2 linked regions of the Drosophila melanogaster genome follow. The protein of the gene in region 2 interacts with the protein of the main gene of each other region in a pairwise test. Each region holds a gene or a part of one and is shown on either strand. Other genes may lie near its edges.

Region 1 (7,226 bases), 1.6 Mb from region 2:
AAGGTCTGTTTACTTTGGTTGCTTTAGGCACTGTGAAAGTTGCTAAGCTGGAGCTAGAAATAGAAAAGCAGAAAACACGAGCAATAGTATCTCAAAGATGTGGAGGACACATTTAAGAAGTAAGGCGAATGGAAGGACATCTTCATATGTATCTGGAAAATGGTATGAGCACAACTGGCCTTCAGGCCATCAGCTGGATAACTCATAAGAGCGGCAATATATGACGATCATAATCAACGTCTTTTGGCACTTTATTGACAAACTAATAAAAACCCAGGATATCCAAGCTAAAAGGATGTCCAACGAGAGACGAGTAGGTATATGCTAGATGGTAGCAAACGATTTATTAAAATCCCTGTACATGGCATACATAATAAAAAGCAACCAGAAAAGCAGATCCTTGCTGACCGTTGATGTGATGAGTAATTTGCTTTTGGCTTTTAATACTGACCCGGTACACTGTGGAAAAATATGCGTATTTCATTTGAAAATATAATTTTCTGCGCCATAAAAAAAGAAGTAAATTAAACTTTAAAATAGAAATGAAATATTTTTCCTCGTTCGATTTTTTTTAAGAAAGTTCAACACATTTGTTTCGAGTGCATAAAACCGACCAGACAACGAATAGTTGCAGGACACGGAAATTAGTGCGGAAACGCTTACTACGCTTAGCAATCTGTCAAAAAGCCAAAATGTAATAAATGAGACCCGCACGATGCTGGGAAGGGGAAATGCGGGGGGCCATCAACATAATTCATACGACATGCCAGCGCAGGACAAAAGGCTGACCAGCCAAGGACAAAGGCGCCAACTGGGGCCGGGCCGTCTTTTATGGCAGCAGATGTACCATATTTCATTACACGTTGATAAGTGGTCATTTGTCTAGGACCCAGCACGGTCGGAAGAATATGGCTCGAACTGCGCGCAAAGTTCGTTTCCTGCATGCCAACAGGCATTTCATAATAATTTCAACAACCTCTGTACACAAACCTGCAGCCAGGACCCCTTTGATTAAATACAGAGGACCGACTTTCCATTTAAGTCTCTTTACCGCACCGGGAAATATGTATATAAGTTAGCTCACGTGAGATGATGGGTCAGTAAAAACCTTTTTCATTCTATCACGATTATACGCGTCCGTGCACTTCACAATTGGACAAAAGTATGTATAATTATTTACAAAAAATGAAATATTTGAAATTTGTTATATATTATTATTCATAGCGTGCGTGCTTTTTTGTTTTCTTCGATATTTTCAACATATTTATTACATTTAGATTTATTTTTATTAGGCACTCCTAATATCATGATAGTTATATTTTAAGAACCTCTAATGAGCCAAAAATGCAGTAACTAAAAGTGTATATTTAATAAATTTAATATTAACATTAAATATTTTTAACAAAATATAAAATTTTTAAAATTTGTAAGCATTGTTAACCAAATTTTTGTTAGTTCCCTTGTTAGTCCCTAAAAAATGTTATTTTGCACAACTTTGTTGTTTGGTATTACTAAAACTCGAAACAATCCTAACTTTCAAAAAATTGTTGCCTTAAAAAAGGTTTCGTAACTCGATTGGACTTCTTACTGTTTTAATAAGCTTATTATGAATAATTTTTTATAATAATAATTACTAATAATTTTTGACTTTTGATATCATCAATTACAAAGCTAACAACCTTTTTTCGGCATTTTTATTTTGACCAAGCTTGCATCTATGATTGCTGTCTTGGGCTTTACCACAAAAGTAACGTGAGTTGGATGGCAAATCGACGACTCATCGACGACCTTTCATGGTCGGCCAGCACACCCAGATACTCCCACAGGCGGATATAAAAATCCACCGACATGCCGCCATTCATCAATCATGAACCGAAGAAGGCAGTTCGAGCTTTTTGCATAACTCGGCCGAATGTAAACAAATTGCGAGACTGGCGAAAAACAAAAAAAAAAAAGAAGCGTACCGGGTTGAATGACAGACATTGGCACAGATTGTGAGCCATTTGGGAGTCAGTTCAGTTCGGGGAACAGCCCACGATTTTTGGATGATATTTGATTTTGCTTTCGTTTGACCGCCAAATCTGTCCCAATAACAGTCCGTGGATGATGCTGGGTTGGTTACCTCAGCAGCGATAAAAACGTGTAAATTATTATTACCAACAACATGGGATGGTAAAAGAAAGCCATTTTTGGGGGGACTAGAGCAGAAAATTACTCAACTCGAGTCAGTTTCGGTTTCAGTTGGGTTCAGTTTGGCTGTTGGGTCTTGTTAGCTGATTTGCTTGATAGCTGCTTCGCCTGCTCACCAGAGAGCCTCAACTTTCACTCAGACTGGCCGACAATTTGCTGGTCGCCTACCGTCTTTTGGCCCATTATAATTAAGCCATTGTGCTGGCCAACTGCCTCGTTGGTCAATCATTTCTCACTCGAAAAGTGTAACAAATGCGGCAATTAAGCAGATGTAATTGTAATTGATAACGCCGTGTGTAAGTGAGTTGAATGATCTGCTCAGAGTTAAGTACTGAGAAATCGGTTTGGTTAGTGTAATAGTTTAAGTAGTTCGTTAGCCATGTTGCAACAATTTTTTTATGGTTATAAAGCTCAAATACTTAGCTAAATACTGAAAGAGTTCTAATTATACCCTAACATACACTTTTAAATAACTACGTTTAAAAAACTAACTGGATTTTTTTTACTTTTAGCTTTTAGACTATTTGTTATCAACTCAATAAGAGTAGTAACAAAATAAAAAACTCTTACGCCGTAAAAACTGCTAATCTGATCATTGGAACTGCTTTAGTGAAAAACACGCCTAAAGTTCATATTTTAAATGTATATTTTGTTGGAAAAGCCCAACTTTATTTTAACTTTTAACCATTGACCTTCAAAGAGACCCAACTGGTCGAGCTTCTCTGTACTCCCCGTTAACGCTTATCCACCTGGCCAAGTCGAGTGGTAGTGGAGCTCTCTCTCGGCCAGGCCTTAAGACTTCGGATACACACACATACATATCTGCAGAGAAATGGCTTGGTGGCTTTTCTGCGCCGGCGTCGCGTGTCAAACGATCGCCGAACTTAAAGCCGGAAAGACGTCGTCGTCGAATCTGCGTCTCCGCTTGGCTTTTAGCTTTAGTTTTACAACGCTTACGTCCTCCGTTGCGTAGCTTTAGCTCAAAAGTTAACCAGTTTCGAATCGCATTTCGCTTTCAGTTTCGTTTGAGACACGCGGAGAAAAAGAAGCGGCACCGAACACAAAAGTGCAGTGAGTAAGTTGGGAAAAAACCCACGGCGAAAATCGAAACCGAAAGTGTGCAAATCGAAATCAAAAGCCGGGCCCCTAAATAAGCTCCTCAAATGTAGCAATTCAAAAAGCAAACAAAGCATAGCATTTGTGCCTAGAAACGCAACTGGGCAATTTTCGAGTTCAACCAGCCAGGAAGACCGAAAAGAAAGTTGTGGATTGTGGAAAGAAGTGGAAGCAGCAAAGAATTGCGCAAAAATGGCATTACAAAAATCGGTGTCTCATTGAGTGCACAATGAAATGGTTTAAAACAAAATAAATCTCAACATTAAGTTGAGCTAATTTAAAGGAGTTACTTATATTGCATTTATTTGTGAAGTGGAACAAATGAAAACAAAAACAAATTAAATAGTAAATAATAATGCGATATTTTAAAGTTTCAACTGTGTGTCGCTCTAAGAACTTAAATCTGGCTAAAGCTTCCAAAAATATTAACTTCCCCATTCTGATTTAATTTTTTTTTTCTGTGCGAGTCCTTCAATAAGACTCAATTCGAACCTCAGCACGCCTTGGACATTAAAGCTAATTGGTGGGCGTTGGAGCAGGGAGGCGTGTTGAGTGGATTATGTAATTTGACAAGCAGGGGATACTTGCCCAAAGAATTCACAACACGTACGCCATATCCGCATCCGTATCCGTGTTCGTCTTTGCCCGCACAATTTGGAACGCATCTCGAGCGTAAAGTGTCCTTTCGTGTCGCCGCCTTCTCGTTTGGGTGTCGTTGTCAGTGTCCTTCCCCACCCCCCCCACCCCATCGATGTGCATTTTGTGATCCTTGCACCTGCTGCAGTCAGCCGCCCCTTCTAATATTAGCTGCCATTTCTTGTTGTAAACTTCCATTGCCGTCTGCTGTCTTTTGGTTTAGTGCAGCGCCCTCTGGCGCCAGCAAGCGGCAAATGCAGTTTTCTGATACTTCCCCGAATATCCCCGCCATATCCTTCCCCCTCCGGATGGGATCATAAAATTTTTGGCTGCAATTACTGCTGGAAAAGTCTGTTGCCCGTCTCCGTTCGCAATTGCAAGGAATTTAAATTTTATATTCAACAAGACATTTGGCATAGGAGTTGTTTTTATATCGCACAAGCACAAACATAAATAATATATTTTTAACTCGGCACAGATGCTGCGAACACAGTAAGACTTTAACCAAATATTTTCGAAATTTTCTGTGCGTCATCTTTAAAAAGTGCCTTTTTAAAGCGTCTGGTAAAACAACCTTGACTCCCTTTAAATGCAAATGGAAATCGAAGAGCGCTAAATGACGCACTAAACAAGGCGACAAACTGTGCATATTTTATGGTGAAATTTATGGTTTGCAGAAGACTCAAAAGAGTTAAGACCCCCAAATCAATAAGTGTGTCCCAAAAACCAAAGAAATCAATAAGAAAGACAAGATGTTGAGAAAAGTTTTGCTCAAGAACATAAGGCACACTTTCACTGATATTGTAAATACGATATAACAATAAGAATGAAAGTCTATTAGGATAAGTGATTAGTTTTAATATTTGAGCACGACTTTTTTAAGCTCTGCTAGCGCACTCGATTAATAAGTAATTTATAAACATTTAGGCACAGCTTTAACTAAGTCATTTATATGGCTAGATTTTTAACATAAATACAAGTGAACTGCTTTAATTCGAACTTTCTTATTTGCAAGTCTACAACTTATAACTTTATATTAACGAAATAGGACGAACAAAGACCAATCATGGCAATGAGTATATTCACAACCAGACTATTTAGAACTTGGCTATATGCACTCTAGACACTTGTCCCAATAGAAGCCGAGTATAAAAAGAAACCAAATCGCTGTGGGCATTAAACTTTTAGGGCCTGTCAGCGTCCCGCCAAATAAAAGTTGACAATAATCCGAATAATTTTGCTTGGTTCGCCGGGACTGAAGATGATGGTATCCGATTATTTCTGGCGGTCGTGCGGTTGCATAAACACGGCGCAATCATAAAAAACCGAATTAAACAAATGTCGTCGGCAGGGAGAACTCCTTTTGGCGGATAGCACGTGAGAATTGCATTAATATGAATGCAAATGTGCATCCCCGTGGGGTAACAGTGGGTGGTAAATCTATAAATTTATGTGCAAATGTAGCAAGAAAATGTCGAGCAAAAGTCGTCGGAAATTGTGCGAATTCTTTTGTAGTTTGAGTTTGACAGCAAGTTTTTATGATGTTTTCCACCATTCCATTTTCCCGCTTTAGGCGACGTGCGAAGACAGTTTGGCTTGAGCTTATGAATCGCTGACGTGAGCAGCGGGATTTTCCACATTTTCCTCAAACTCCACCCGCAAAATGCAATTGCTATGGGAGCCGCGAAGTGTGCAATGCAAAATTGCAATTCTAATTATCGCATTAGTCGTCAACGTGTCGTGCATAAGAAATGGCAACGGGTAAGTTGATTGAGCTCTCTTGATTATGCAAATAAGCCTCTAAGCTTCTGTTGCAAAGATGCTTCATGTTCTTGTTTTTTTATAACTTATAACTTATAAAAAGTAATAAAATTATAGAAATTTATCATTAAGATAAATAAATAAATAATAAGAAATATTTATAGAATTATATCTTGGCTTTCTGTTTTTAGAGACATTACTATGATATATTAAATTAAATATGCATAACTTTTTTTCCCCAGTGAGGACGAACAGATATCTGTGAAATTGAAAAACTTCTTTCCCTCAGAAGAAGCTTCAGTTGGTCAGAGTTTTCCTGAAACTTCAGCCAGAGTGACAACGGGTGGTGGATTTAGACCCTCGCAAATGCTGGACTTCACGCCCTCCGATGTGATGCCCCAGTCTGGTTACACCCGTTATCCTCCGAGCTATTTGGAACCGAACTACAAGCACGAACTTCCAAGTTCTCTGGGACAGCAGGTGGCATTGGACAAGCAGTTCTCCTTTCCCCAGGACTCGCACTCGATGTTTCAGAGCACACCGCTGCCCACAACGCCGGTAGTTAGCTACCTGGATCCGTACACCCAGCAGAACTATCGCTACACACCCACTCCGCCTTCTATAATTCAATATCAACGTGAGCAGCCAGCCCAAGACGATCAGGCCTATACTGTGCAATCTTCCCTGCTGGTGGGCAGTCACCAACAGCAAAACCACCAGCAGCCGTATCCTGGCCACGTGGAGGATGTTTATCTAAAGCGACCTGGCTACGTCTTCGATGAAAGCCCCGCTCCATCGTATCGACGACCCACAAGGCCACCGCCCTCGCTTCCACCACCGCCCACCACCGCGGCGCACAAAATCTCCTATGATAGCCATGATTACCCACCGCCCAGCTATGCGGCCGAGCAAACTTCCAATTTCGTGCCCCAGCAGCCAAAGCAGCGACCGCTGTACCAACGCCAAGACATCAAGCCAAATCGAGGTGGAGCAGGGGGATCAGGAGGAGCAGGTGGAGCACCACCACCAGGCTCGTCTAATTATGCAAACAACTTCGATAATTATTCGAAGCGGCCAAACCCACAGCAGACACAAATACAGAACCCCAACCAGGTACACCAAGGAAAAATCATATATATTATATAGAGATATGGATAACAAAATATTAATACGATATTTATTTCCAACTAAAAACCAATACATATTGGATTAGTATAAGGGAACTACATATGCGAAAATATTATATAATATTAAGTTTGCAACCCTTAACCAATATTTTTTTATTGTGCAGATTCAGACGCAGTTTGGAAACTATCCGTACAATCCCCAGAATGGAGGAGCAGGAGTTCCTGGGACCGGACTACCCCAGCGGCCCAGGCCGGGACACAATTACTACGAGTACCAAATTGGCGAGATACCACCACCGCAGTCCCAGCACTTCCAGCAGCCGCAGCAGCAGTTCAACTATCGTCCTGCCACTCAGTCACCGGGTGTCGGTGGCTCCGGCGGCGGTGTGGGCGGCG
Region 2 (5,691 bases):
AACGAAAACGAAAGACTTTCAATAACAATTCTATCTAAAAAAAAAAAGGTACAACTTTGATGACGCAGTTTGAATACTATCGAGTTCAGATATTTGCTATTATTACAAATAAATCGAAGCTAGTACTTACCTCATCCAGGGCCATAGTCAGGGCACCGGAAATGGCCAGTCCCTGACGCGTCTTGAGATCGCCAGTGAGGGCCGTTAGGTAGCCGACAGTGAGGACGGTGCGATGATTGCTACAGTCGCGTACCGCCACCGACAGCAAGAGTAGTAGATTAAAGGGCCAACGCGTCATGGCCCCTTAGGCCGGGGCCGTTCAGCGCGACGCCTATGGGTCCCAACGGATTCTCACACTGCAATGATGGGAACGGAGAAGAAGGATCAGTTGAGAGTAGGACCAGAGACAGGAGCAGAAGCGTTGCGCGAGGAGCAGGACCGAGCCGAAGCTAAGTGAGGACGCAATTGAAACTGCCAAGGACCCCTTTGCATAATAAAAATGCATGTTTGACAAAGGCAAACACAAATAGAAAACAGCATGCTGAACGCATTTCAGACACTTGGCTTGATTCAGACGAAAGAGCTGCAAGGCAGAGAAGCTGGAAAGCAGCTGCAGTCCGACTGCCCAGGACACAGAGAATAAATTATGGCAGGATATAATATTAAAGACTCTAAAATAAATGTATTCTTAAGCAATTACGTTCGAAATTAACATACTATATCAATTCTTAGCTTATTTAAACAACTGCTTTACTCAAAAATACCAAACTAAATTGGGAATCAAGTAGGACGATTATTTTTCTCTGTTTATCAATAAGCTGGAACTGCTGAGTGTCGCAAAGGACGCAAAAGGGAAATGACGCTGGGTGTACTCCAACAGGCAACCGGATGCCAGGCAAGTGCCCACGCAGGGAAATGTCAAATGTTGGAATGTCCAACTTCAATATCGTTGACCACTCGTCCGTCGGCAGCCGAAACGAGCTTAGGAATTTTTTAATTAGGCTGTTCAGTTCTTTGCCATGGGAATTGGGAGCGAATCACTGATAAGTAGCTTATCAGCTACTGCAGAGGCCTTTTTCCACCAAGGAATGCCATATACATTCGTACATATGTATCCTCCGGAATGGAGGCCCATAATGCGGAGCGCACAGCTTGTTATTATTAATTATGCATGCGTTGATTTTGCCATTATGCAATTTCGTTTGAGGCATTAAATATATATATCGCCGGCGATTTCGTTTCAGACATATGTTTGTTATTATCCCTGTCCACGCCAACACAATCCCTCCCCACAGCATTGTCCTGATTGTTTGCGCTAAAGCGAAAGCTTATTCCATGGGATTGGATTACTCAACTGTTCGGTCGGATGATGGCGTTCATCCCTGTTTGTCTTTTTTTTTTTTTTTAACAGGCTCACGTGTAAGTTTAATTAAAAGAATAAAAGAAATGCGAAAGCCAGTATATAACGGAATGTAGGGCAACTATTTGATTATAGTTAATTTAAAAAAAAGTTGCCACAAACGACTGGGACATCGGTTAACTGTGGAGCACATTAAATTTCCAGCAATAGAACATAAAATTGATTAATATCGAATTGCTTTGAAAAGCCATAAGCTGAGTTTAATTAAAAGCAAAACCAATCCTTAAGACATGATAAGAGACTTAGGAAAACCTTAGGAATTCACAAATTTTCCTGATAATTTCAAACAAATATTCACGAGGAATTCAAAGTGTAGCCACTTAGACGCGGGTAATCTTTAGAGCACCCCAATCTCAATCAACAAAATGCTCAAGCAGCCAGCCATAAATTTGCATTTTCGACACACTTCGCAAACCATATTTGTTTTTGTTTTTTAAGCTGTATATTCTTCAATGTTGCAATTTAAAATTAGAACTACTTGGCTGGGCTAGCTAAATTTGGGCGCCACTGATAAATATTTGCGCACCATTTTGACACAATGCGAAACGCGTTTCCAAGAATGGCATTTGAATACATTTATGTGTGGCTAAGGCGGAAATCGTCTTTCCTAGAATCTAGATTAGCAGATCTTCTTGTTTAATACGTATATAGATTGGTCTATAAACAACCTATTTAAGTTAAAAAATACTTAAGTCGGTATCATGGATGTAAATAGCTGTTGCGCTGAAGTAGACAAAATCTAAAAACCATTTCAATTTCATTGATGAGTTTTTAACTAAGCTAATTGAAAAACTCTGAATGTACTCCTTTAGCATAGTAAGGTGTAATGCTCACATAGAGCTAGAACACCTTAAAATTTGTTGGAATAATCATATAGTTTCAACTATTACAATTACTTTAAATGTAAAATGGAAATACTATATTCAAGGACCTATAAGAACGTAGCAATACCTTTTCAAATTGCGTCAAATGGGCTCTCATTTTCATAATCAGATCCCCGTAGGTCTGAAATCTCACATCATGTTCGTTATTTGTCAGTTGTTGGTCTAGAAATTTTTGTCTTTCCGACTCGAAAGTTTTCACCTTTACCCGTCGAACGCTCCTCCGGCAAAAGACACTCAAAATTCGATGTTTACTTGAAATCCAAAGCCCGTGCTTAGAGCGTAGTGGAGTGGAGAGGAGTTGCGGCAATCCTGAGCTCGATCCCGAATCCGAGGACATAGTGCTGTTGACGGGTTCGATCACTAGATCCCCACATAAACCACCAACTCTATACCCACACGTGCGCCTTGAAGCCTAGGGGTCATTGCACTTGCGAACTATGTGACAGTGGCACTACGGAAACAGCGCCAGGGCCGGGTTTACCACTGCGTCTCCGGAGCACCAGGATCCGGAAACGCAACCTAAGATTAAGACGTCGCTGAACACAGGATCCGAGGACCAACAACCGATCCCCGGGCGATCAAAAACCCGGCGCCATGGCCATTCACGAGCAGATCGACAACCTGAACATCTGGTGGTTTCCGCGCGACTTCTGTCAGTCGCGATTCGGGGAGTTCCAGCGGAGCGGCACCAACTCCTGCACCATCATTTCCCTAATACTGGCCGACAAGGTGGCCAAGGCGGACAGATTCTATCACAGGGTCTCCGATCTGCCGCTGCGGGGATGGGAGCTCTTCGGCAACGCCATTAACGACGGAAACAGCGTGTACCACAATGTGATTACAACTAATACGCCGCACGCCAGGAATCTCAACCTCAACATTCCGGATGCTATCGCCGCCATTCGGTCGCAGCACAAGATGAACTTCCGGCTGGAGGAGTGGTTTTACACGCACATGGAGGCCGATCCCAGCAATCCCATGTACAACCGGAACGTTGCTGTGCAGTTGTCGCGGGTTTTCCAGATAACACTCCAGATGTTCCAGCACGCCAGCGTGCGAAACAATGTACCCACTAACCTCTTCGCCGCCATCATAGCGGACAGTCGAACGGTGATGGTAACCTTCGATTTCCGAGCCTCGATCGTCGCCCTCTTCGACTCCCACCAACACGGCCGGGATGCGGGAGCCGTCTTCGCCCAGTGCACGCTCGAGAACATGGACGACCTGCTCTTCTGGTTCATCAGCATGTTACACAATGTCTACTCCAGCCGGCCCTCGCTCTTCGAAATCTCCTTCCTCAGCTCTCAGCCGGGGGTGGCCAAGAACATTCCGCCGGCCATCCAAAAAAAGATTGCCGCAGACCTGAAGAAGCCGTTTAAGATGAACATGCCTAAGCACTAATCATGTTGCCAGGTTTACTACAAAGTCGCCAACATCCAAGGACGTCGATCTAGGCGCGGGCCAACCTTTCGGAACCCATTTTTGGGGCTATTTTAGGACAAAATCTCAAGTTTCATATAGCAAAATTTGTGTGTTAAGCGTTTAGAAATTTAATTCAAAATTCTCTGTTGACCATCAACTAATAAATAACGAACTCCAATTTGCATTGTATCCTTAAAGACAGATTTTGCAAGATTTAGCTATATGGTAAGTCTAGTCTGTTCAAGGTTGATACAAGATTGATTTCCGACCCTATAAAGTATAAGTGCAGTCTCTCAATGTCCGTCTGTTTGTTGTCCGTATAATCATCGAAATCTTAGGAGCTATAAACAGTTAGCTGGAACTGCTAAGAAGTAGAAACTTCTTGGTCGTTGAGCTAAGTAACTGGTATCAAAGAGTCGGACAAGAGGACAATAATGTTCTCTATCGTTTAGTTAAAAGTTCTTTAAGGCACGCAGTTAATCGTCGGATTCAAAGAATGAAGACAATATACTTTTGCAAGTCACCTAAACAACTTTCCATGTTGTTATGTACATACATGTGAACGTATGAAAAATTTAACTCCTAATTAATGCTGAACTAAATAATGATATAGAAATTATTTAATTGTGAGCACGTATGTATTTACCTTTCTGTTGATATTTGCCTATTTTCTATTCCTCTTACCTAATTACACTTGAGTAAACAATTAGTTCGGGAGAGCCGAACATCTGTGTGGGGGATTTTATGCATTAGCGGATGTGGGCTGTTTGCTGTTTTGGCCACCCCAGCTAACCGAAAGTCGAGTGGCTTTAATAACAAAGGCGCAAGAGTTAAAGTTGAACTTTGTAACGGGAATCGAGCGACGAGTATGCGGTGCGCGTGTGGCTCTGCCGTATTTTTCTCGACTTCTAATCAAAATGAGTTAAATAAACACATAACGTAACCTATTAAGAACTTAGTACGTGACAACAATTTAAATATTTATAAAGTAAACAGAGAGTGCGAGAGAGAGAGAGAAAGAGAGAGCTAGTGAAGAGGAGAAGGCGAGGGGCAAAGGAGGAGCGTCTAAAAATAGAGCCACATATCAAAGAAAATATGAGAAACAAATCGAAAACCGAGGCGCAAGACGTGATAAAACGTTTAACGTTAAATGTGAAAAGCAGCCGCGGAGAGGCCAAAACAGAGAAATAGACAAAATGAGAGAGGAAATCGCAGAGGGAGAGAGCGTGCAACTGAGTTGTAATCAACAAATAAAGAGCTACAAGTTGTGTAATGTGAAAATATAAAAATCGCGTAGCCGCAACGTGGGCCGCATTTAACATGATGCTCTCTTGTTCTCTTGCTCTCTGGCTGTCTCCGTCTCCATCTCTCTCACTCCGTCCATCCTCTCTGTCGCACAGCGCAACAAGTTGCAGTCGGCGGCGGGGAACCGTCTTTATTGCACTTTTCAGACGAAGTTTTTTGCTGCTGCACGTGTGTATACACACATACATTCATACTTATGTATGTGCGTACAAATTGTCGAGTTGTCTAAAAATAAAACCTGCATACTAAAAATAGAAACCAGACGCGAACACGACAATCCATTGGCCGTTGGATAAACCAACACGACATTACATTGCACATATATCGACAAACAAACATCACCAGGGGAGCTCCTCGCAGGCAAAGTGGGTGAAGTGGCGATTTTTGAGGAACCAAAAATGTGGGGGTTTGCCAGGGGGGTGCTATATAAACACAAATATCACGCACCATCACAATGTGCGTGCTTCTGCCGCCGACAATTGTCATCGAATCCACTAGTTGACTCACTGCCGGGTGGGTTTAAAGTCCTACATCACCAGGCATACCGCCATACCATACCATACCGTATCATATCATACCATATCATGCCATATCATACCATATCATATGACAGCAGCATTATCAGTTTCACTTCCAAATCAATCTCGCATCTGGCTGATT

The links. The genes of interacting proteins can lie anywhere in the genome.
Region 1: the proteins of Vtld (region 2) and CG13699 interact in a two-hybrid assay, tested with the Drosophila melanogaster proteins (one large-scale study listed by BioGRID).

What each region holds. Positions count from the first base shown.
Region 1 is NT_037436.4:18,158,346-18,165,571, reverse strand, and holds the start of CG13699 (uncharacterized protein), read left to right. Parts: upstream 1-3,049; 5' UTR 3,050-3,265; intron 3,266-5,515; 5' UTR 5,516-5,605; coding exon 5,606-5,703; intron 5,704-5,945; coding exon 5,946-6,816; intron 6,817-6,994; coding exon 6,995-7,226.
Region 2 is NT_037436.4:19,757,933-19,763,623, forward strand, and holds Vtld (viral tegument-like deubiquitinase), read left to right. Parts: upstream 1-2,476; 5' UTR 2,477-2,898; coding exon 2,899-3,705; 3' UTR 3,706-3,885; downstream 3,886-5,691. Other genes in the region: Gyc76C (guanylyl cyclase at 76C), read right to left, coding at 131-298.